2 linked regions of the Anolis sagrei genome follow. Each later gene encodes a partner of the first gene's protein in a complex. Links are inferred from orthologs where the notes say so. Each region holds a gene or a part of one and is shown in the gene's direction. Other genes may lie near its edges.

The links.
Region 2: the proteins of serine/threonine-protein kinase STK11-like (region 1) and CAB39 are in contact, whole or in part, in a crystal structure (PDB 2WTK), measured with the Homo sapiens proteins. The link is inferred for Anolis sagrei from reciprocal best matches to the Homo sapiens genes STK11 and CAB39. Residues at the interface, in NP_000446.1 of Homo sapiens: Gln100, Arg103, Arg104, Glu165, His168, Ser169, Gly171, Leu201, His202, Pro203, Phe204, Ala205, Ala206, Asp207, Asp208, Phe234, Arg301, Ser307, Arg310, Lys311, Lys312; in NP_001124321.1 of Homo sapiens: Gln109, Gly111, Thr112, Lys196, Leu197, Leu238, Asp239, Arg240, His241, Phe243, Met246, Ile250, Val280, Ala283, Asn284, Pro285, Glu317, Gln318.

What each region holds. Positions count from the first base shown.
Region 1 is NC_090035.1:55,403,859-55,414,378, reverse strand, and holds the start of serine/threonine-protein kinase STK11-like, read left to right. Parts: upstream 1-6,457; 5' UTR 6,458-9,062; coding exon 9,063-9,349; intron 9,350-10,520. UniProt on the Homo sapiens protein: Tumor suppressor serine/threonine-protein kinase that controls the activity of AMP-activated protein kinase (AMPK) family members, thereby playing a role in various processes such as cell metabolism, cell polarity, apoptosis and DNA damage response.
Region 2 is NC_090023.1:228,950,040-228,960,293, reverse strand, and holds the start of CAB39 (calcium-binding protein 39), read left to right. Parts: upstream 1-5,606; 5' UTR 5,607-5,815; intron 5,816-10,254. UniProt on the Homo sapiens protein: Component of a complex that binds and activates STK11/LKB1. In the complex, required to stabilize the interaction between CAB39/MO25 (CAB39/MO25alpha or CAB39L/MO25beta) and STK11/LKB1.

The sequences.
Region 1 (10,520 bases):
TAGTCCAGAAGCAGGGCATCTGTTTTAGGTGCTGTGGGACAACTCCACATTTCACATCCAAGTGCAAAGAAAGTATCAAGTGCGAAAGGTGCAACAGTCTCAAGCATTGCACCGCAATGCACAACTCCAACGCTGTCTCCCACACTAAAGGGGACACGTCTTCAAAGGAAACACCACCTACTGAAGCCACCAACAAGCAGGCTGCACTACCGATGTAGGAAGATGTTCCAACAGTCGCCTGCACTGAGCTGTGCTCTGACACGCATCAGTTCAGAGTCTGCCATCCCATCTGCCTGGCAGATGTGTATCCAGCCAAGAGCCCTTGGCTTAAAAAGAGACTTTATGTGGCTTCGGATTCACAGAGCGACGCTTCCCTGGCTACTCCAGAGTTCTTCCAAATGTTCGACCTAAAAACCAAGACGGTCGACTACACTATGTCAACGTGTGTAGGAAGGAAGAAGTTGCAGGGTAGCTTCCGGTTTTGTTGTTTCCTCTTGCTACCAAAAGGGACAGTTCAAGTTGCCAGACCTCATTGAGTGTTCATCCCTTGGAACAAAAAGCAGATTGTTACCTGAGAAGTTGTGGAGGCCCATCCTCATCTACGAAGGCTGAAGAATGCCATATCAGCTTTTCTGCCAGATGTGGACATTGCCTTTTTGCTTAGTTCGGACTGCCCGAGCTTGTTCTGCGTGAACGACCAAGTTAAGGGACCTCCAGGTGCACCTATTGCACAACTACTGCCGTTGGGCTGGACAGTTATAGGCCCAGTGTGCATAAACAAGATGCACCCTCCATCATCGTTGGACTCCAAGCACACATGCTTAATGGTGGACGTCCCACACTTATGCACAGCTGTCTGAGCCACATCTCAGTCTGCTGCCAAGGAATAGCTCCAGAGCATTCCTCCATCTTTGAGGCTTCTGAGAGAGACAAAGCCCCGGCACTCTCAAAAGATGAACAAAGGTTTTTGGATATTATGGACTCTGAAGTCTCTCGAAGTCCAGAGGGAAATTGGATAGCCCCTCTGCCTTTTAAGTCAAATAGGCCCACTTTGCCAAACAACAGGCACGTGGCAGAGAAAAGACTCTGGTCCCTAAAGAAAAAGAGTGTGATGGTAGCTGAAGTAACAGTCCCAGCCTGGTTACATCATTTTATAATTGGAAAGAAAGGACAGAACATTGGCAGGATTACCCAACAGCTTCCCAAGGTTCACATTGAATTCACTGATGGTGATGAGAAGATCGCATTAGAAGGAGCCACCGAAGAAGTGGAGTTGGCTCAGGCTCAGATACAAGAGAACATCCGGTACTTGCTTAGTCACATGGATTACACTGAAGTGCTCATCGATCAGAGGTTCCACCATCATCTGATAGGGAAAAATGGAGCCAACATCAACCACATCAAGGATCAGCACGAAGTCTCTGTCCGCATCCCACCCATCAACGAGAAGAACAACCTGATCCAGATTGAGGGAGACCCACAAGGGGTCCAGCTGGCTCGCAAGGAGCTGCTGGGAATGACTGCTCACATGGAAAATGAACACATAAAAGACCTGATCATTGGGCAGAAAGGCGAGAAAGTCAAAGAGATCTGTGACAAGTTCCCAGAGGTCATCATTAACTTCCCTGACTCATCTCAAAAGAGCAACATTGTGCAGCTGCGTGGGCCTAAAAACGAGGTGGAAAAGTGTGCCAAGTACCTCCAGAAAGTTATTGCAGAGTTGATTGAAAACAGCTTTTCCATCCCAGTCCCTATCTTCAAGTAGTTCCACAAGAACATTATTGGGAAGGGAGGCACCAACATCAAAAAGATTTGAGAGGAAACCAATACCAAGATTGACCTCCCCATAGAAAACAGCAACTCGGAGGTAATCCTGATAACTGGGAAGAAGGTCAACTGCAAAGGTGCCCAGGACCACATCCTGGCCATCCAGAGGGAGCTGGCTAACATAAAAGAAGTGAACGTCTCCATTCCAACCAAACTGCACAATTCCCTGATTGGGGCCAAGGGTCAGCTGGTGCATTCCATCATGGAGGAGTATGAGGTCAATAAATCCGTGCCGCAGCCTGAGCAGCAATCAGATATTATCGAGATCACGGGCCTGGTCTCAAACGTGGAACGGGCCAGAGCCAGTCTTCTAGGGAGGGTATTTTGAGAGTGGGAGGAAGGTTAGCTAAGGCTAAACTTAAGATATGTGTAAGAAACCCCAATATCATATCCCCCAATAGTCACATTGCATTGTTGCTTGTTCGTTATTACCATGAAAGGACAAAGTCTTGCCCCGCCATGCTTGGCCCATGGGTATCATACTAAAGACTTTTCCTTGCCCTGACGGTAAGGTCAGGAAAGTTCAATTAAAGACTTACAACAAGGACAAAATGTCTGTCCTGGACAGACCAATCAGCGATCTTGTTTTGCTTGTTGAGAGTGTTTAATGTTTATACTGTTTTATCATTGTATATATTTATGTGGTAAATTTCCAGATCCTGGGAAATTTAAGCAGGGACTGTTCAGTCTCCCAGGAGCATGGGTTTTGCATTACCTTTTAGTTGCTGGAAACAGCCTCTCCTTGTGTTTATCCCAGGCTACTGCAGGCTTTGCTAGGCCTAAAAGGTTAGCAGACAGAGGCAGGAAAGCCAGTTTGCAGGCTTTCTGCAATGACTGGCCAGAGTATCTCTTTGGGCCTGCCCCTGCTTCCAGGGTAGAAACAGCCATTTTGGAGGTCTCCCTGCCCCTTCGGTCTTAAGGAAGAATCCATGATGTGCTGTTGGCAGACAGGTACCTCTGAAGATACCATTGTAAAAACAATTGAGACCTGTAGATAGATAGATAGATAGATAGATAGATAGATAGATAGAATGAATAATTGAGTCATAGATTGAAAACAAATGAGTTTGATTGAGTTATTTAGTTAGAGATAGATATTAAAAGAGAACTATTTAGATAGTTATAGAGGATTATGTAGATAGTTATAGAGATACCCTTTTTTGGAGAAAGTTATACCCTTTTTGGAGAAGGATTGCCTCAACTATTGAACCCCAATTGACTGTTTGTTTTGTAATGTTGATAAGCTGAGCCAAGTCTACCATGATTTTGTGAATAAATACCCTGTTTGATGTTTCAAACTTGAAGTGGACTCAGTTATTCAAGAAAACTCAATCTTCTAAAGAAAGACCCCAGCAGTTCACCCAGACCTAGATAGCAGCACATCAAAGTTTTATTTTAAAGTGTCTGGACGTAACGGCACATGCACATTAGTGTAAAGACATGTGAGCGCCTGAGATCTTCCTCTGAGCTGTTTAATTGGGATTATAGTGCTTTTGGTAGTTGGTCCTCATTGTGTTTGTGCAGCCCTCCGTTTTGCCTTCTGGTGGTTCCCTGTCATTGTGGGTAAAGTAGTGTTCGCAAGGCTGTTGTCCCCCTCCCCTGGTGGACCTAGTTTAAATTGTGCCTAATGAAATTTGCGCGTCTGTGAGCAAAAAGGTGTTTTCCTACTTGTGTGAGATGTACCCCATCCCTTGCCAGTAGGCCATCCTCCTGGAAAAGCAGGCCATGGTCGAGGAAGCCAAACCGTTCCTCCTGACACCATTTTCTAAGCCAGTCATTGACCTGTACTATTTTTCTGGCCCTTGTAGGACTATGTCTTACAAATGAGAGGAGGAATGAAAAGACCACCTGTACATTAGATTGTTTTAGCTTTGTTCCAAGAGCTTGAAAATCATTTCTGATCTTTTGAAAAGTATGCCTAGCAGTATCATTGGTTCTTACATGAATCAACATGAGGGGAGGACGGTGATGGGGCTTGAGGAGCCTGGTGAGCCTCTGAGTGATATGGTGTATTTTTGCCCCCGGTAGGCAGCATATTTCTCGAGCCATCCCATCTGGTCTGGAAATGATGGAGTCGCCTACTACCAAGATCTGTTTACTTTCAGGATTGACAGGGTCCCTTTTGTGCAATGTAGTGTGTAGGTCCCCAGAAAAGTGATCCTGTTGATGTGAATTGTGTAGGTGTAAAGTGTTGTTCTCCTCTTCAACATCCCCGGTGCATTCGTCAAGGACAATCCATTGAGATTCATCCAAGAGCCTATTGTTCTCCTGTATGTGTTCCTGTTGCACCTGGTCTATGGCTGGGGATGGTACATCTGCATGATTGTGTGTGAATGTTGTGTTGTCCCAGTCAGGGCTATCCCCTGCACACTGATCAAGGATGAGTTACTGATCAGTATCTAAGCCATTCTGGTCTTCCCCAATATGCTGTGTTTCTTGGTCAAGTGTTAGTTGTGTGAGAATTTGGAATCTATTGTGTAAATGCAGCTGGGCAGAAGTATTCTGAGGAGTCTTCCGGGTCCTATGTTTCTTTCTAAGGGTGACATGCCTCCAAGCTTGAGGGTTGTCCATATCTGAGGTGATCTCCTCTTGAGCCTCCCCATAATGTTGGTGTGCTGTGGGCTGCGTGTCTAGGACAGTGTGGTGTCTAAGACGAGCTCAAGTTCCTGAATGTCCTTAAGGGTCTTAATACGGTCAAGTTGTTGGATCCTCTGTCCCATGTGAGTGATCTGTTTACACTTGGGGCAGATTTATTTATTTATTGTGTCATCAGCAACCATTGTATTACAATTCTAACAGAGCAAAACAAACACAGAGATTAAAAAGAAAAAGAAAAAAAAGAAAGGAAAAAAAACCACACAGATTTTGCAAATTTGGTATTTGGTTAAATGTCCTTTGACCAGTATCTGGCCACTTGGAGTGCCTCTGGGGTTGCCGCAAGAAGGTCCTCCATCGTGCATGTGGCAGGGCTCAGGGTGCATTGCAGCAGGTGGTCAGTGGTTTGTTCTTCTCCACACTCGCATGCCGAGGATTCCACCCTGTAGCCCCATTTCTTAAGATTGGCTCTGCATCTCGTGGTGCCAGAGCGCAACCTGTTCAGCGCCTTCCAAGTCGCCCAGTCTTCTGAGTGCCCAGGGGGGAGTCTCTCATCTGGTATCACCCATGAATTGAGGTGCTGGGTTTGGGCCTGCCACTTTTGGACTCTCGCTTGCTGGGGTGTTCCATCGAGTGTCTCTGTAGATCTAAGAAAACTATTTCTTGATTTAAGTCGTTGACGTGCTGGCTGATACCCAAACAGGGGATGAGCTGGAGATGTCTCTGCCTTGGTCCTTTCACTATTGGCTGCTACTTCCCGGCGGATGTCAGGTGGTGCAATACCGGCTAAGCAGTGTAATTTCTCCAGTGGTGTAGGGCGCAGACACCTTGTGATAATGTGATCATTAAGAGCCACATCTACTGTTTTAGTGTGGTGAGATGTGTTCCACACTGGGCATGCATACTCAGCAGCAGAGTAGCATAGCGCAAGGGCAGATGTCTTCACTGTGTCTGGTTGTGATCCCCAGGTTGTGCCAGTCAGCTTTCGTATGATGTTGTTTCTAGCGCCCACTTTTTGTTTGATGTTCAGGCAGTGCTTCTTGTAGGTCAGAGCACGGTCCAAAGTGACTCCCAGGTATTTGGGTGCGCTGCAATGCTCCAGTGGGATTCCTTCCCAGGTAATCCTCAGAGCTCGGGATGCTTGTCTGTTCTTAAGGTGAAAGGCGCATGTCTGTGTTTTAGATGGATTAGGGATCAGTTGGTTTCCCCTGTAATAGGCAGTAAGAGCACCTAGAGCTTCGGAGAGCTTCTGTTCTACCATCTCAAAGCTCCCTGCTTGAGCAGTAATGGCACGATCATCAGCATAGATGAAACTCTCTGTCCCTTCTGGCAGTGGCTGGTCATTTATGTAGATGTTGAACATGGATGGAGCAAGCACGCTCCCGAGGCAGGCCGTTCTTCTGTTTCTGCCAACCAGAGATGACTTGGGGCAGATGTAATTGAGTAATTGTTGTGTGAAAAAGCTAAACATTCCACAGCTTGTGCATGGGACAGGAAAATTTTGTTTTTGTTCCATCTGCAGGCTGCTAATGACCTCCTCTTGGTCTGTGTTTTATGTTGTTATCTGAAGCTTGCTTCCTCAACCTCTGTGGGAGCACAACCGTTAGGTTGTTAGGAATTGTGGGAGCTGGAGTCCAAAATATCAAGAAGGAACAAAAGCCCATGTTAGCCCAGGCCTGGTATAGAGGGAAAGGGTACAGCTTAAGCAGATCATGCACGCCTTCAACAAACAGTCCTTGGAGGCTTGACAAAGGAGGCTTCCGCGACGACTAGGCCAGAAAGCCTCTCTTTTCCTACGCGTCGCCAAGTTCTCCACCTCGCGCCTTCCTCTCCCCTCTGTCCCCCGCTTCCAATCCCGACCTTTCCTTTTCCCTAAGCAGAGCCAATCCAAAGTCGTGGAGGGGAAGAAAAGGTGGGGCCGACGAGTCAGAGGGGGTGGGAAGGGGAGAAGCAGGAAAGGGGGCGGGGCTCCGCGGCTGAGCCAATGGTGTCGCCCGCCTGCTTTGTCCGGGCCCCACCTTCCCAGGTCGAGCGAGTGCGCAGGCGCCGAAAGGGGAGGCGAGGAAGTAAACAAAATGGCGGCGGCGTGCTAGTTGCGGCGGCAGGAAGGCAAGGGCGAGGTGTTTTTTGGGGGAAATAAAGGGACGCCCTTTTGGGGGGCGGGGGTCTAAAGAGGGCGGGTTGTATTTATCTACCTAATTGGAAGGAGAGCGCTTGAGGGCCTGCTTGCCATTCTCCTTTGCGTGGATTTTGAGGAGAGCGGTGAGGAGAAAGTAGGCCACTCCGGCCCCTCAGCCTCGAGCGAGGCTCCCCTTGGCCGCTCTTGGACTTCGTGGCATCCTGTGTGCGTAGTGGCCTCCAAGGGCTTCCTTTCCTTGGCGAGGAGTGGTTGTTTTCATCCGGCCCCGCTTCCTGCAGGTCTGCAGATTGGCACTTGCTTAGAGGCACCTGAGAGGGTTTCAGTGAGCAGTTTGGGTCGTCTTGTTCTTATTTTTCAAAGGTATAAGAGGAGGCCTTTCACTGGACACCACTTTGGGGCAGAAGAGGAATAGATCCTGAAGCTTTTTAGATACAGTGCGTGCGTGTATGTGTGTGGGTCAATATATATGTGTGTGTATATATATGTGTGTGTGTGTATACACATATATACATACACATACACACATCCAGAGCCTTCTTATTTATAGTATCTATCTATCCCTTCACAAAACTAGATAGAGGCTGTGGGTGTGTTTGTGTTGCCCTAACTAGTGGCCCACCTTCCTGAGGGAAAATTACTTCAGTTGTGTTGGATGCAAATCCAACTCTGGTTTCCTATAGCACAGCAAAGGCCTGTTCTGTTCATTTTGCTCCCTTGGGTTGCTTTTCTCCCAGATTCAGTAGAGAAAGGATTGTGGCCTTCATCACCTTTGCTGCCCTCTGCTTCCCCTTTCAGGATCAGGTTTCCTTTCCTCTTGTGCGCCCCCTTAATACTCCCAGTTGCTCTTGGAAATCACCATGGTGTTTGGAGTGGCCTCATTCATTGTTCCCAGATCGTTGTTGGTCCTTCCTCAGTTGTTGGTGTTTCTGTGTCTCTGTTGTTTGTCCTCTGTTCAGTTATGTTCTTCCCCTAATTTCTGCTGAGTGGCACAGCCTCTTTTGGGATTTAGTCAGCTACATGTTTTCCTCTCATAGCAGACTGTTGTTTGAGAGAAACTCCTTCCCTGAGCGGTACCCTCGGATATTACTGAGTTGAGGCTGTTGTTGAGTTGAGGCATGTCGGGTGGAAATCCCTTCCTGTTGCCATTCTATCTCAAGGAAGGTCCACTCTTTGATATATTTATTTATTGTTTTGTTTAGCTTCTCCAGGTGCCAGAGCTTTTGGCATGCAAAGAAATCCCAAAGTGTAACAACTCCTTTTGCAATTGAAGGTAGGCAAGAAAAGATGGGAAGACAGGATCAGTGTTTGTGCTCTTCCTACCTCTTGATCCCTGACTGTTGAGTTTACCTGTCCAGGTAGGGAGTCCAGTGTTCTCCCTGTTGTTCTTGTCTCCCATTTTTAGTGTTACTTTACCTTTTCTTGCTTAGATTGGAGGGAAAGGGGAAGTGGGCCTTACTGCAAATCAGCCCCTTCTGCAAAATGTTGGGGTTGATGAAGATTGTTCAGAGGCCATTTCCCTGGAGCAGTATAGTGTCTTAATCTGAGAGAATCGGTTGAGTCACTTAAGCTTGAGTTTGCTCTGGCCTTCTCTCCATTTGTGGTGGGAGCTTAATGCTGGGAGATGTGAGTACTTCTTGCCTGCCTTCCTGCCTGCCTAAAAGCTTTGCCATCTGGAGCACTGGGGTGACACATCATGTGTCAGGCTGACCCCAGGCTGTTGAAGGATGCCCCTGGAAGTACTTACTACTAGGCACGGAAGGCCTCAAACTTTTGTTGCTGACCCTGTTGACATCGGCATTGACAATTCCTTTAGAGAGACTTGGTTCCAGTTACCCAACGGCTGAGAGAGAGGGCCCTTCCCAGGAGGCCATTATACCTGTGTGGCGAAATCAGCGGAAGTAGTTGGTTGCGGTCCTTCACATTGACAGAGGAAGCCACTATTCCCTCCTGGCGATGGAATCCCCATACAGGAGCTAATTTGCTGCTTTGATTTTAAATATGGCCAGCATTTGAAGGATGGCATAGGTGTCAAGCAAAGGAGGACTTCAAAAGGTGGGAAAACAGGCTTGCCTGAAGATTTGCAGCACAAAGCAACATCTGAAAGTTAAAGCTAACTCAACGGAACAGGAGGGAAAAAAACTTAATTTCCCCCCCTTTATCCATCTTACATGCACATGTACTTTAAAAGAGGCACTGTGGTATTGGAATAAGTTGCTGGATCTCTGCAGGACCTTGTTGGGCTGTCAGAAGAATTCTCAGAACCTCTTGTGAGTTGTATTTTTCATTTTTAAATTAAGCCATTTGTACAATCTTCTGGACAACTTCTTACTGACTTACCTCTGCTGAATCTGTCTCCTTCGTGTCCTATCATACCCACCCCTCCACTCAAAAGTTGGATATAAAAGGGAGGGACTTGGATACACCAGGAAACTGGATTTATAGTTTTTTGACACACATCTGTTTTACTAGTTTAGAGTTTTCCTTCAAAAAGAAGTCCAAGATGGATCTGGAGCCCCAGCAGCTAGGCATGTTTGTCGAAAGCGAATTGATGTTGGTAGGCATGGACATGTTTATCCATCGAATTGATTCCACAGAAGCGATCTATCAGCCCCGGCGGAAGAGAGCCAAGCTCATTGGCAAATATCTAATGGGGGATTTGCTGGGGGAAGGGTCTTATGGCAAAGTCAAGGAGATGCTGGACTCCGAAACCCTCTGTAGGAGAGCGGTCAAGATCCTGAAGAAGAAGAAACTGCGCCGGATCCCCAGTGGTGAAGCCAATGTTAAAAAGTAGGTATGAGGAGGAGGAGTGGCAGCCCATGCCTACAAAGATTGGTCCACGGGTTTTCCATGGCTTATTGGGTAAAGCTGCTTCCTCCCTTGTGATCATGCAGATGTGTTAGAATAAGCACCTTCCAGCTGTTTGGGCCTCCAACTTCCAGACTTCCTGGCAATTGAACAAGCTGGCAATGGGAGCTTTGGGGAGTTTGAGGCCCAAACAGCTGGAGGCTCGCAAATTGAGGAATATAGTTCTCAGCAATACCAATATGTTAGAAGGATCCCCTTTAGCTGCAGAACTCATATCTGTGGTTTCATTTTGTTGCGGAATATGTTACCCGGAAATTCATTCGAGTGCTTTAGGAGAAGGAAGAGGATGGAGAGACAGCATGTCCGATTTCCAGGCCTTTATTTCTATCTCTGCAGATAGAAATAAAGGCCTGGACAGCGAAAAAAGGGCTGTCACTCTTGAGGTCTAAATTGCTTCAGTATTTATAGCATAAAATCAACTTTTCCACACATGCGCAGAAAGTGTCTGACATTTACACAGTACAATCATTAACAGGTGTTTCCATGTATAGTTGACAAAAACATCTTTATCAGGTCTTGGCAGACACTTTGTGAAACCAAACATCTGCTTGATTATATAATGTATTCCAACCTTCACCTGTTACCCTTAGATGACTCTTATAAGTTCTATTCCTTAAATATCTAATTGAATTATAACTTTTATATGCTTATAATATAATATCTGATCAAGACAATACCCTTTAGTTAATTCAGCCTTTTCACTTCATTATAACTTATTTCTTAATATGAAAATCATGAAGGGAATCACTAGGATAATGCTTTTCTGAAATTGCCTGCTATTTACATTAAGTGGTCAGAAGATGGCGCTCTCTCACCATATGACCTTAGATGTTCTAAGTCTTGGATTGATAATATTGATCTCTTTGGTCTGCCAAATTTCCCTTGTTGATCCTCGTATCTAAGTAAACGTTAGCTAGAGCAAACACTTTGATTGACCAAGGTCCAGTGAAAATCAATACCATCTGTAGTTTTTCACAGGCTTGAAAGTTCTCCCATTAGAGAAATGCCTTTTTCCCTTTCAAAGGATAGGTAAGAACTTAAACCTTCTATTTTATTCTAAATTATTATGATTTCCATTATTGTTATTATATTT
Region 2 (10,254 bases), on another chromosome or scaffold:
TCCTCCAGGGTGACTCTACATTAACATCTGAAAAATATTCATTTCAGTAGGGTTTGCTATTATCCACGGTTATTGGTTTCCACTGTAAGTTCAGGAATGTATATGGGGTACGTATGGAAGCATATATTCTGGGAATATCTACATCCAAGTAAAAGAGAAAGGTTGTTCTCATGACCCTTCAGATTTTGGAGACCTGTACAACTAGCAGAAAGTTTTCCATCAAATGCAATTTGTTTGACTTTCTGAAAAATAATGAGGGAAGAAAACCTAGCTTTAAGTTTGAAAGTTACCGTTTGAAAATAAATTAATCATAGTTTCTTCTTGACTTTACTATATACTTCCCATTCAACTCCAGATACAGTATTTGTTTAAACTTGAACGTTTTACCATAATGACAACCTAATAGTGTTTTAAATCATGCATACACACCCTTGCAATGTTGCCTTTGAAAGCGTTGGCCTCCCTCTCACAAATACAGTGGAGAAAGATTGAAAACAACAGCCTGAGTCCCAGGAGAGTGAAACACACCTGCAGAGGAACGCCCTCACAGAGGTGAAAACGTTGTTATCAGTCTGTTTTGGAAAGTGAATTATCCAACTACCTTTTCTTCTTGTAAAGGGATCGGTAAAAACAATGGGCATGATCCAAACAAAATGAAGCATTTTTACGTAACGTTTTATTTCAGTGAAAACTGCAATCTACTTCAAATCAGTCTACTTGGAATGATAGGAACCATTGAATTCAATGGTGTTTATTTCCAGATTAGCACGTAAAAGATCGCAATCCACATTCTCATTCTACAATGTAGAGGTGCACCCGTGGTGTTATCTGGTGCAATTCGCGGATCCCTCTAAGGGTACATCTACACTGTAGATTGAACGCAGTTCGACACCACTTCAACGGCTGTGACTTAATGCTAATGGCCAACACTCTTTGACAGAGAAGGCTCAAGATCTTTGCAAAACTAAACTCCCATGTTTCCATAGCACTGAGCTGTGGCAGTTCAGGTATGTCAAACTGCATTCGTTCTATAGTAGAGGCACCCTTAGGCTGGATCTACACTGCCATAGAATGCAGTTTGAACAGTATGATATGGCCAGTGTAGACCCCTATGAGATTTGAACTGAATTATATGGGTCTATAATGACCATATACGGGCAGTCCCCAAGTTACAAACAAGATAGGTTCTATAGGTTTGCTCTGAAGTTGAATTTGTATGTAAGTTGGAACAGGTACATTTCTTAAGTGTGTTTTTGTTGTTGCTTCCGACTCTTCTTGACCTCACGGACCAGCCCATGCCAGAGCTCCCTGTCAGCCATCGCCACCCCCAGCTCCTTCAAGATCAAGCCAGCCACTTCCAAGATACCATCCATTCATCTTGCCCTTGTTCGGCCCCTCTTCCCCTTTCCTTCCATTTCCTCCAGCATCCTTATCTTCTCCAACCTTTCCTGTCTTATTTTGTGACCAACGTACTTCATTTTTACCTCTAAAATCCTTCCCTCCAGTGAGCAGTTGGGTATTATTTCCTGGAATATGGCCCTGCCATACTCCTTTCCCAATCTTGAACAAGTCTGTTGTTCTGTGGTATGTTCTTAATGTTGCTACTTGATCGTTATACAGATTCCTCAGGAGACAGACAGGGTAGCTTGGTATTCTCATACCACCAAGAACTTATTATGATCCACACGGTCCAAGGATTTACAATAGTAAATAAAACAGCAATAGATGCTTCTCTGAAACTCCCTGCCTTTCTCCATTATCCAGCGGATATTTGCCATTTGGTCTCTCGTTCCTCTGCCTTTTCTAAATCTAGTTTTTACATCTGGCAACTTTCTCTCTCCATGCATTGGAGAGTCTACCTTGCAGGATCTTGAGTCTACCTTGCAGGATCTTGAGCATTACCTTACTGCAGGCCTGTAGCCAGGACTTCAATTCGGGGGGGGGGGGGGCTGAGTTTGTTTCGGGGGGGGGGGCTGAGTCTGAGTGAAAGAGGGTCTACTTTAGCAAACCTTTAGTATCGTTACCCCAATACCCCCATGCATATGGGATATATTGAGTATAGTGATCAGATCATGATATGAATAAACATAGCAGTTTAAATAATGCACCACCTTTTTGCAAACCACCATGAAGCCCCTCAAGCCCCCCCCCCCCCCCCGGCTACATGCCTGCCTTACTGCAGTGGTTCTTAACCTGTGGGCCGTGGACCACCAGTGGGCAACGAGGACGAAAATCATCTGAATCAGAATCCCAAAACGAATCTAAAGTTGACCAAAAACTGTTTTGTAGCCCTTTTGGTACTAATGTTGGAGAGTGTTCCCTTTTCAAAGTGGTCCCTGGTCAAAAAAAGGTTGGGAACCACTACCTTATTGGCATGAGAAATAAGTGTAAATCCAGCTAAATGGAGCCCCTGGTGGAACAGTGGAAGACGTCACATGCAACTTCTAGAATGATTCCATCAGCGTTGCCTCCGAAAAATTCTGGAAATCTCTTGGGAAGACAGGCAGACAAATGTCAGCATGCTGGAAGAAGCAAAGACTGCCAGCCTACTCTGGAACAGGCAACATATAATTGTCCTTCTTTAGGGGTCCCTTTCAAATCTATGATACTACGTGTGTGTGTGAATCGTATATATCTAACTATACCTATGGCTGGATGGTTCTTTGTCAGGAGGGCTTTGATTACGTTTTCTTGTCCTGGTGAAGGGAGTTGGACTGGATGGCCTTAAGTATGGGGATTCTGTGTGGGAAATTTGCCCCAATTCTGTCAGTGGTGGGGTTCAGAATGCTCTTTGATTATAGGTGATTTATAAATCCCAGTAACTATAACTCCCAAATGTCAAGGTCTATTTTCCCCAAACTCCATCTGTGTTCGTATTTGGGCATATGGAATATTCATGCCAAACGTGGTCCAGATCCATCATTGTTTGAGTCCACGGTGCTTTCTGGATGTAGGTGAACTACAACTCCAAAACTCAAGGTCAATGCCCACCAAACCCTTCCAGTATTTTCTGTTGGTCATGGGAGAACTGTGTGCCAAGTTTGGCTCAATTCCATCGTTGGTGGGGTTCAGAATGCTCTTTGGGATTTATAGGTGAACTATAAATCCCAGCAACTACAACTCCCAAATGACGAAATCAGTTTTTTGAGTGAAGGACATACATTGGGTTGTTAGGTGTACGTTGTCCAAATTTGGTGTCAATTCGTCCTGTGGTTTTTGAGTTATGTTAATCCCACAAACAAACATTACATTTTTATTTATATAGATAGATTATCTATTGCATTACAATGCAATTTAATATATACACATATACAAATATTAAGACGGTATTAAACATCATCCGTTTTTTAAAACAATTCACGTTAAAACCATAAAAGCACACAAAACCACAGCACCTCCCAAGGCCGTAGCCAGAAAAAAATGGGGAGGGGTTTGAAAATTGGGGGGGGGGGGTTGAAAATTTCAGGGGGGGTTAAATTTTGGTGTGTGTGGGGGGTTGAAACCTGCCTCCTAGCTCACGCTGAAGCAAAAAGCACAGCAGGGGACAGAGCAGCCTTTAATAGCCTGCAGCTCCGCCCCTGTCCACCACCTCCACCAAGTCTGGCCTCCTTAATGAGAGCATTCAACACCCCCCCCCCCCCAAACTTGGTTGCTTTGCTACATCGGCTATCACTGCAAGTAATGACTGTGCTGTCACACGCTGGGCCTGTGCATTAGACTGTAGACAGGACATAAATTCTGTGTGCCCAACGGGATGCGGGGGCTGCCACAGATTAAAAGCCCTTAGATTCCCCCAAACAGAGTCTTTAGATTGCTTAAAGTAAATCCAACAAAGTTCTTTATTGATGAAAACAAACAGGTACTTTCAAGCTTTCTTAACAGTCTATTGGCTCTTGCAATCTTGTTCACTGGGAACAGGCACTATCTTCTTAACTGTAATTAACTAATGGGGAAATCCTTAACTTCTAATCTGGGCAGTCTGTCTTTGCCTCTGTTGGCGTGGAGCCCCTGCACCCGGTACCAACTGCGTCTGGCTTCCGTGAGTGACCCTTACCAAGCAGAGCTTTGTAGACTTCCAGGGGAAAGGAGTTCAGGTTTCGGTGACGGCTGGCTGAAGTCTCTCAGCAAAGGAGCTGTAAGGCTGCAAAATCCTCAGCCAAGCTGTGGGCTGTATCTCCCCGGCCAAGCCGTAGAAGACGAAGCTTTCTACAGGAGCTTTTCGTTTTATGTCCTGTGTGAAAGGCTTCTCTGTGTGGACTGACTCAAAAATGCTCCTATTCCCTCCAAAAACCCAAAGGGGGCGGGACCAGGGAACCTAACGATAATTGACAGGTGGCTTGCCCTATGATTGCAGCCAAAAGAAGCCACCTATCTGCAGAGTCCCTGAAACTTAGGACTGCAACAAACATTCAATGCAAAGCAAACAAAATTGGAGCTTCTGGTATAGCTGTACCAGCACAATGACAGTGGGAATAAATTGTCAATTATGTCCTTACAGAGAGAGGTCAACCCTCCTGTTCAAGGAGCTCCACTGGCTGCCATTTATTTTCCGAGCCCAATTCAAGGTGCAGGTGCTTACCTACAAAGCCCTGAATGGTTTGGGACCATCCTATCTGCATGACCGCATCTCCATCTACGAACCCACACGTTCACTTCGGTCATCTGGTGAGGCCCTGCTCGTGATTCCGCCTGCGTCACAAGCGTGGCTGGTGGGGACACGAGACAGGGCCTTGTCTGTGGTGGCCCCCCCAACTCTGGAACACCCTCCCAAAAGATCTTAGACAGGCCCCTACATTGGCAGTCTTTAGAAAGAACTTGAAGACCTGGCTGTTCCGATGTGCCTTTCCAGAATAGGAATCTCCAATAACAAGTCCTCAAAGCACTTTTAGTAGAACTAAGATTATTGCACACCACACACTGCACTTGCCCTATAATCCTCGTATACCACCTGCCACATCAGCACTTTTAATCCTGTACCCATTACTCTGGCCCGGCCCAGTTTGTATTGTGTCTTGATGTACTGTTTATTGCATGTCGTCAATATTGCTTTACTGTTTCTAATTTTGCTTTTGGTGTTATATTGTTGTGTTGTGTTTTGAGGCCTTGGCCTTTGTAAGCCGCATCGAGTCCTTCGGGAGATGCTAGCGGGGTACAAATAAAGTTAATAATAATATTAATAATAATAGTGCTGACAGTTCTGGAGGGAGTCTTAATTTTTTGTGTCTAATAGACTTAGCATGGGGATTGGGTTAACCAGTTAAAATTCATGAGTAAACCATTTTTTTTTAACCTGAAAAATTGGGGGGGGGGGTGAACCCCTAACACACCAACACCCCCCCTCCCCTCCAGCTACAGGCCTAGCACCTCCCTCCTAGATCTCAAACACCTTCAGATCTGAAACACCACGCCTGGTCTCGAATGACCATGGAATGCAGTTCAGCGTGGGAAACGCTGGCGGCACTTCTCCCTCCCGGCCGCAGGGGGCGGCAGAGAGCGCGCGGAATGCGCTGGCGGGCTCCCTCTTGCTTAGCCGCCTCTCGTCGTCCGCTGTCTCATCCGCTGGTATCCGCCGCCGGGAAGGGAAGGGAAGGGAAGAGCGGAGGCGCGCGGGGCGGGGGAGGGAGGGGCTAGGCAAGCAGGCAGGCAGCAAACACCAGCAGCCCGGCAGGAGAAGAGGAGGAGGAGGAGGAGGAGGGCGGCCGAGGCGTCGCGAGAAGGCCCGCAGACGACGACGACGACGAGGAGACGAGGAGGAGGAGGAAGAGAAGGCAGAAGGGAGAGGGCGCCTTTGGACGTCTCCTCGCCACCAGCGAAGGTACCGTCCTGGCTTCGGGCCTTGTGGGTGGCGTTCGCTCTGAGGGCTCGTCGAGGCCTAGTCTGGCCTCGGAAGGAAAGGGAGCGCCTCTTCCTCCTTTCGAGGACAGTAGCGGCGGCGGCGGCGGAGGAGGCCCCTTGTCTGAGGGAAAGCACAGGGTGTGTCCTCACGGGAACTTGACGCGCGTTCGGTGTCGTCACCCCTCCTCCCTCTCCCCTTCCATTAGGTAACCTTGTCTCGCCGCCGACGCTGCCAGATAACGCCGTTTGGAAAATGAACGCTAGAGACCAGGCCTGGGCCAACTTGGGCCCTCCAGGCGTTTTGGACTTCAACTCCCACAATTCCTAACAGCCGGTAGGCTGTTAGGAATTGTGGGAGTTGAAGTCCAAAACGCCTGGAGGGCCCAAGTTGGCCCAGGCCTGTGGGTCTTCCTTTAACCTTCTCCACATCCTAACTGGAACTGAGGGGATTCATAATCATAATAAATCTTCATTTATTTCCCACTTTTCTCCCACCAAGTGGCTTCCAACATGTTAAAATACAACGCAAAATCGTCAACCATCAAAGACACAAATAAAAAAACATAAGAAGCCATTAGTAAAACGTACTCCACTTTCATCTTATGCCCTTGCTTCTTAGCTACAACTTGCATTATCTCTTTCTCTTCTTCTTGTTTACAGTTGACCATGTTTTTAGGACAGTCGACACTATAGGTTATTGGGCGTCAAATTGTTGTTTTATATACTACTGGTTTATCTTGTAATGTATTGTGTGTTTGTTTTATGTGTTGTTTTAGGCACTTTGTGCCATATGTAAGCCACCCTGAATCCCTTTGGAGAGATGGAGGTGTGGTACAAAAATAAAGTTGTTATTGGGTTGTTGTTGTAGGTTTTTTCGGGCTATATGTCCATGTTCTAGAGGCATTCTCTCCTGACGTTTCGCTACATCTATGTAGACCTCACAATCTCTGAGGATATTTTTTGTTGTTGTGTCAGGAGCAACTTGAGAAACTGCAAGTTGCTTCTGGTGTGAGAAAATTGGCTGTCTGCAAGGACGTTGCCCAGGGGACGCCCGGATGATTTGAAGTTTTTATCATCCTTGTGGAAGGCTTCTCTCATGTACCCGTATGAGGAGCTGGAGCTGATAGAGGGAGCTCATCCACCTCTCCCTGGATTCAAACCTGCAACCTGTCAGTCTTCAGTCCTGCCGGCACAGGAGTTTAATCCACTGCGCCACCGGGGACTCCCATCTCTAAGGATGCTTGCCAAAGATGCAGGCAAAACGTCAGGAGAGAATGCCTCTAGAACATGGCCATACAGCATGAAAAAACCTACAACAACCCAGTGATTCCAGCCATGAAAGCCTTCGATAAAGTTGTTGTTATTATTATTATAAATATAAATTATTATAAGTAGCATTTAAAAATGCCAGGCTGTTTTCCTTCTACAGCAGCAGTTCTCGACCTGTGGGTCTCTAGGTGTATTGGGCTACTACTCCCAGAAATCCCAGCCAGTTTACCAGCTGTTAGGATTCCTGGGAGTTGAAGGCCAAAACATCTTCTACAGTGTAGACGTCCCTTTTGGTGGCGTGGAACACCCAGTGCCTCCTTCTCAGCGTTGTTGTCTTTGTGAGTGCCTCCATTTTTAAATAAACTTTCTTGGCTGAAGGAGCTCACATCTCAAAACATGTCAGGATTGAAGGAGGAAGGGAGGTGGTGAGGTGATTACTCCAAACCGGAAATATTAGTAACCTTTTCTTTCTTTCTTTCTTTCTTTCTTTCTTTCTTTCTTTCCCTCTGTTTTTTTTCAACATGGCCTTTTATACAGCCAACACCAAAGAAAAATGAAAGCCTATTTGCTTTGCTTTTGCAATACTGCATTGTCCAGGAAGAGGCCCAGTTTGAGTTAATTTCACTGCACTCTTCTGAACTGCTAGGATATTTCCATATGTATTATGAATTCTTAGGCTTGTACACTTTTTCAGTCATCCCCCCCCCCCCAAATCATTGCATCATCATAGGAAATCATAAGAGTGAAAGTAATTCCCAAGATCTTTTGGACAGTGTTGGTTTCCTTTCTATTTAATTGGCCTGTTTTATTTCGTAGCATCCCACTGTAAACTTAAGGGGGAAATGACACTTGAGTGCTCTGCAAAAATAGTATGTGATGATCAATACAAGATACTTCTTTAATTCTTGTGAAATTGCTCGAAGAATAATACTGCTGTATTAAGAATATATGTTGTTCATTTTAAGCCTTAGTTAGGTTTTCTAAATCTGAAGCCTACACAGTTAATGAAAATGTATTCCTAAATAAATTCACATGCAAAATGTTATGCAGGATTTGCTTGTTGAAGCATTCATTCCAAGATAACGTATAATGTAAGAGAAAGTTTATATTGTTTATAAACCAGCTGCTGATGTTTTAAACTGATACGTTTCTAGAGTACTAATGCAAAGTGGCTTATACATTTTTGAATCCAACTGTTTTAATACTACACAGGAATGTTCTAGATTGTCATATTATAAAATTCTGATAAAATAATGGACACTCCAAAGCACTAGTAGTAAAATTCTCATGGCTTCTAGTAGATCCCCGTGGCTATGGAAATGGGTTTTTATAACTAAATAAAGCATAATAATGTAAACATGATTTGAAATTCATCAAACTAAATTATTTAAAGTTCAGGAAGAGGAAACTTGAATATAACTATTAAAATAATGTTGTTCCAGTAAATCTGTTCTGCTTGGAACCAAGAGTTGGATTTAGTTCACAAACCTAAGTAGAATTCAGACTTCAGAAGCATAACCTTTTAGTTATTCTATTTGCCACATCACAGTTGTTACTGAAGGTGACAAGATTGTAAGATGACAAGATTGTCGGTGTTCATAAAATGTTACCAGCCTGTTAACAGAATTGTTGAAGTTTTGCTTTATAGAAGAAGAAGTTTGTTTTAGAGTTAACAATGGGTAGTGTGACAAGTCAGTTAAGTATAGTAACATTTCAAATAAAACAGTACTTTGTTGTTTGAGGTGATATTATTACCTTGATAAGCATGATCAGAGGTATAGATGGAAGTGTCTTATTTTTGTCTTGATTCTGGTAGAAATCATAATTAGCAACTGTGTACTGCTTAAAACAAAATCATTGTCTCTAGTTCATTAATATATTGTGTGTTTGCATTTAACATTCAAGAAGCAGAGTTTACTATTCTAGTGCCTCATTGCTATAGATCGATCCATGGGGTGGTTTTTCAGGGTGTGTCTGAATGCCTGCACTTATGGGTTCATCAAAAGGTTCTTTGATGTGTTGTTTTTAGATCCATGATATTTGTAGTGTTTCTGTAAATATTTGTTAAGCAGATACATTTAGATTGGAGAACCTACAACCATTACATTCTTGTGTAATATACTCCTTTGTATTTACCCATCAGCTATTCAAGTGTTATATGAAAATGCTGTTTTCTTAAGACTTACTCACAGACATGAGGCTATGCCTGTTTCTATGAAATGTCAAAAATGCCCCCCTCCTTAAAATGTCTAGATACCTAATATAGAATGTTTGTTTGAGCACGGAAGGATTTCTATTTTTTATATTCTGAAATGGTAGATGTTTGTAATGCTAGAATAACAAATTGTACTACTCGTACTACTGCTTTTCCTTGACATTTGTTTTGTGGTGCTATATATAGTTCGTCGAGTTCTGTGTTTATCAATTATTCAAAAACTAGATCCTTCAGATTGTTAAATGAATGTAATATGTCACTTATTTAATACATGAGAAGGCCTGGTTCTGGATAGTTTAGTCTTACAAACGTTTTCAAGGTCTCTTTGGGAGATGGAGATCTTGTGACTTATCAGATTTGAGTTTCAAGTCAGACTTGAAACTATATCTCATTGATTTTTGTGAGTGTTCACATTGCAGTTACAGGCCTTAGTAATGATTGTTCAGTACTTCTGATTTTAAATAATGCTCGGTATACACAATAGCACTTTCCCATAATTAAAGAGTAGTGGGGATCACCAATATACTTAAGGTTATATAACTAAATTACTTCAAAACAATGATACATCATAGTTTCAAGGACTAAACCCTACTTCTTCAGAGCTGATGAAATAGGCTTTATTGTCAGAAGGCTTTTTTTTTCAGCAGCAGGCTGACACTTACGCCCTAAAGGAATTTTCCCAGAAAATAGTTATCCTGAATGGTGTATGTGCTATTTTTTCTACTTCTTTGCTTATGACCTGACTTATTAGTGTCAAAGCAAGATTAATAATTTCAGAAGAGCCAGATGTAACCTATTGCTGTGCAGTAATTAATTTGCCTTTTAAAGGAATAAACCTAGCATTAAAAAGAACATCGAGATAAGCATAGTGACATTTAAAACCTCATTTAAAAGCAACATTCTTCTTTAAATTCACAAAATTGTTAGGAATAAAG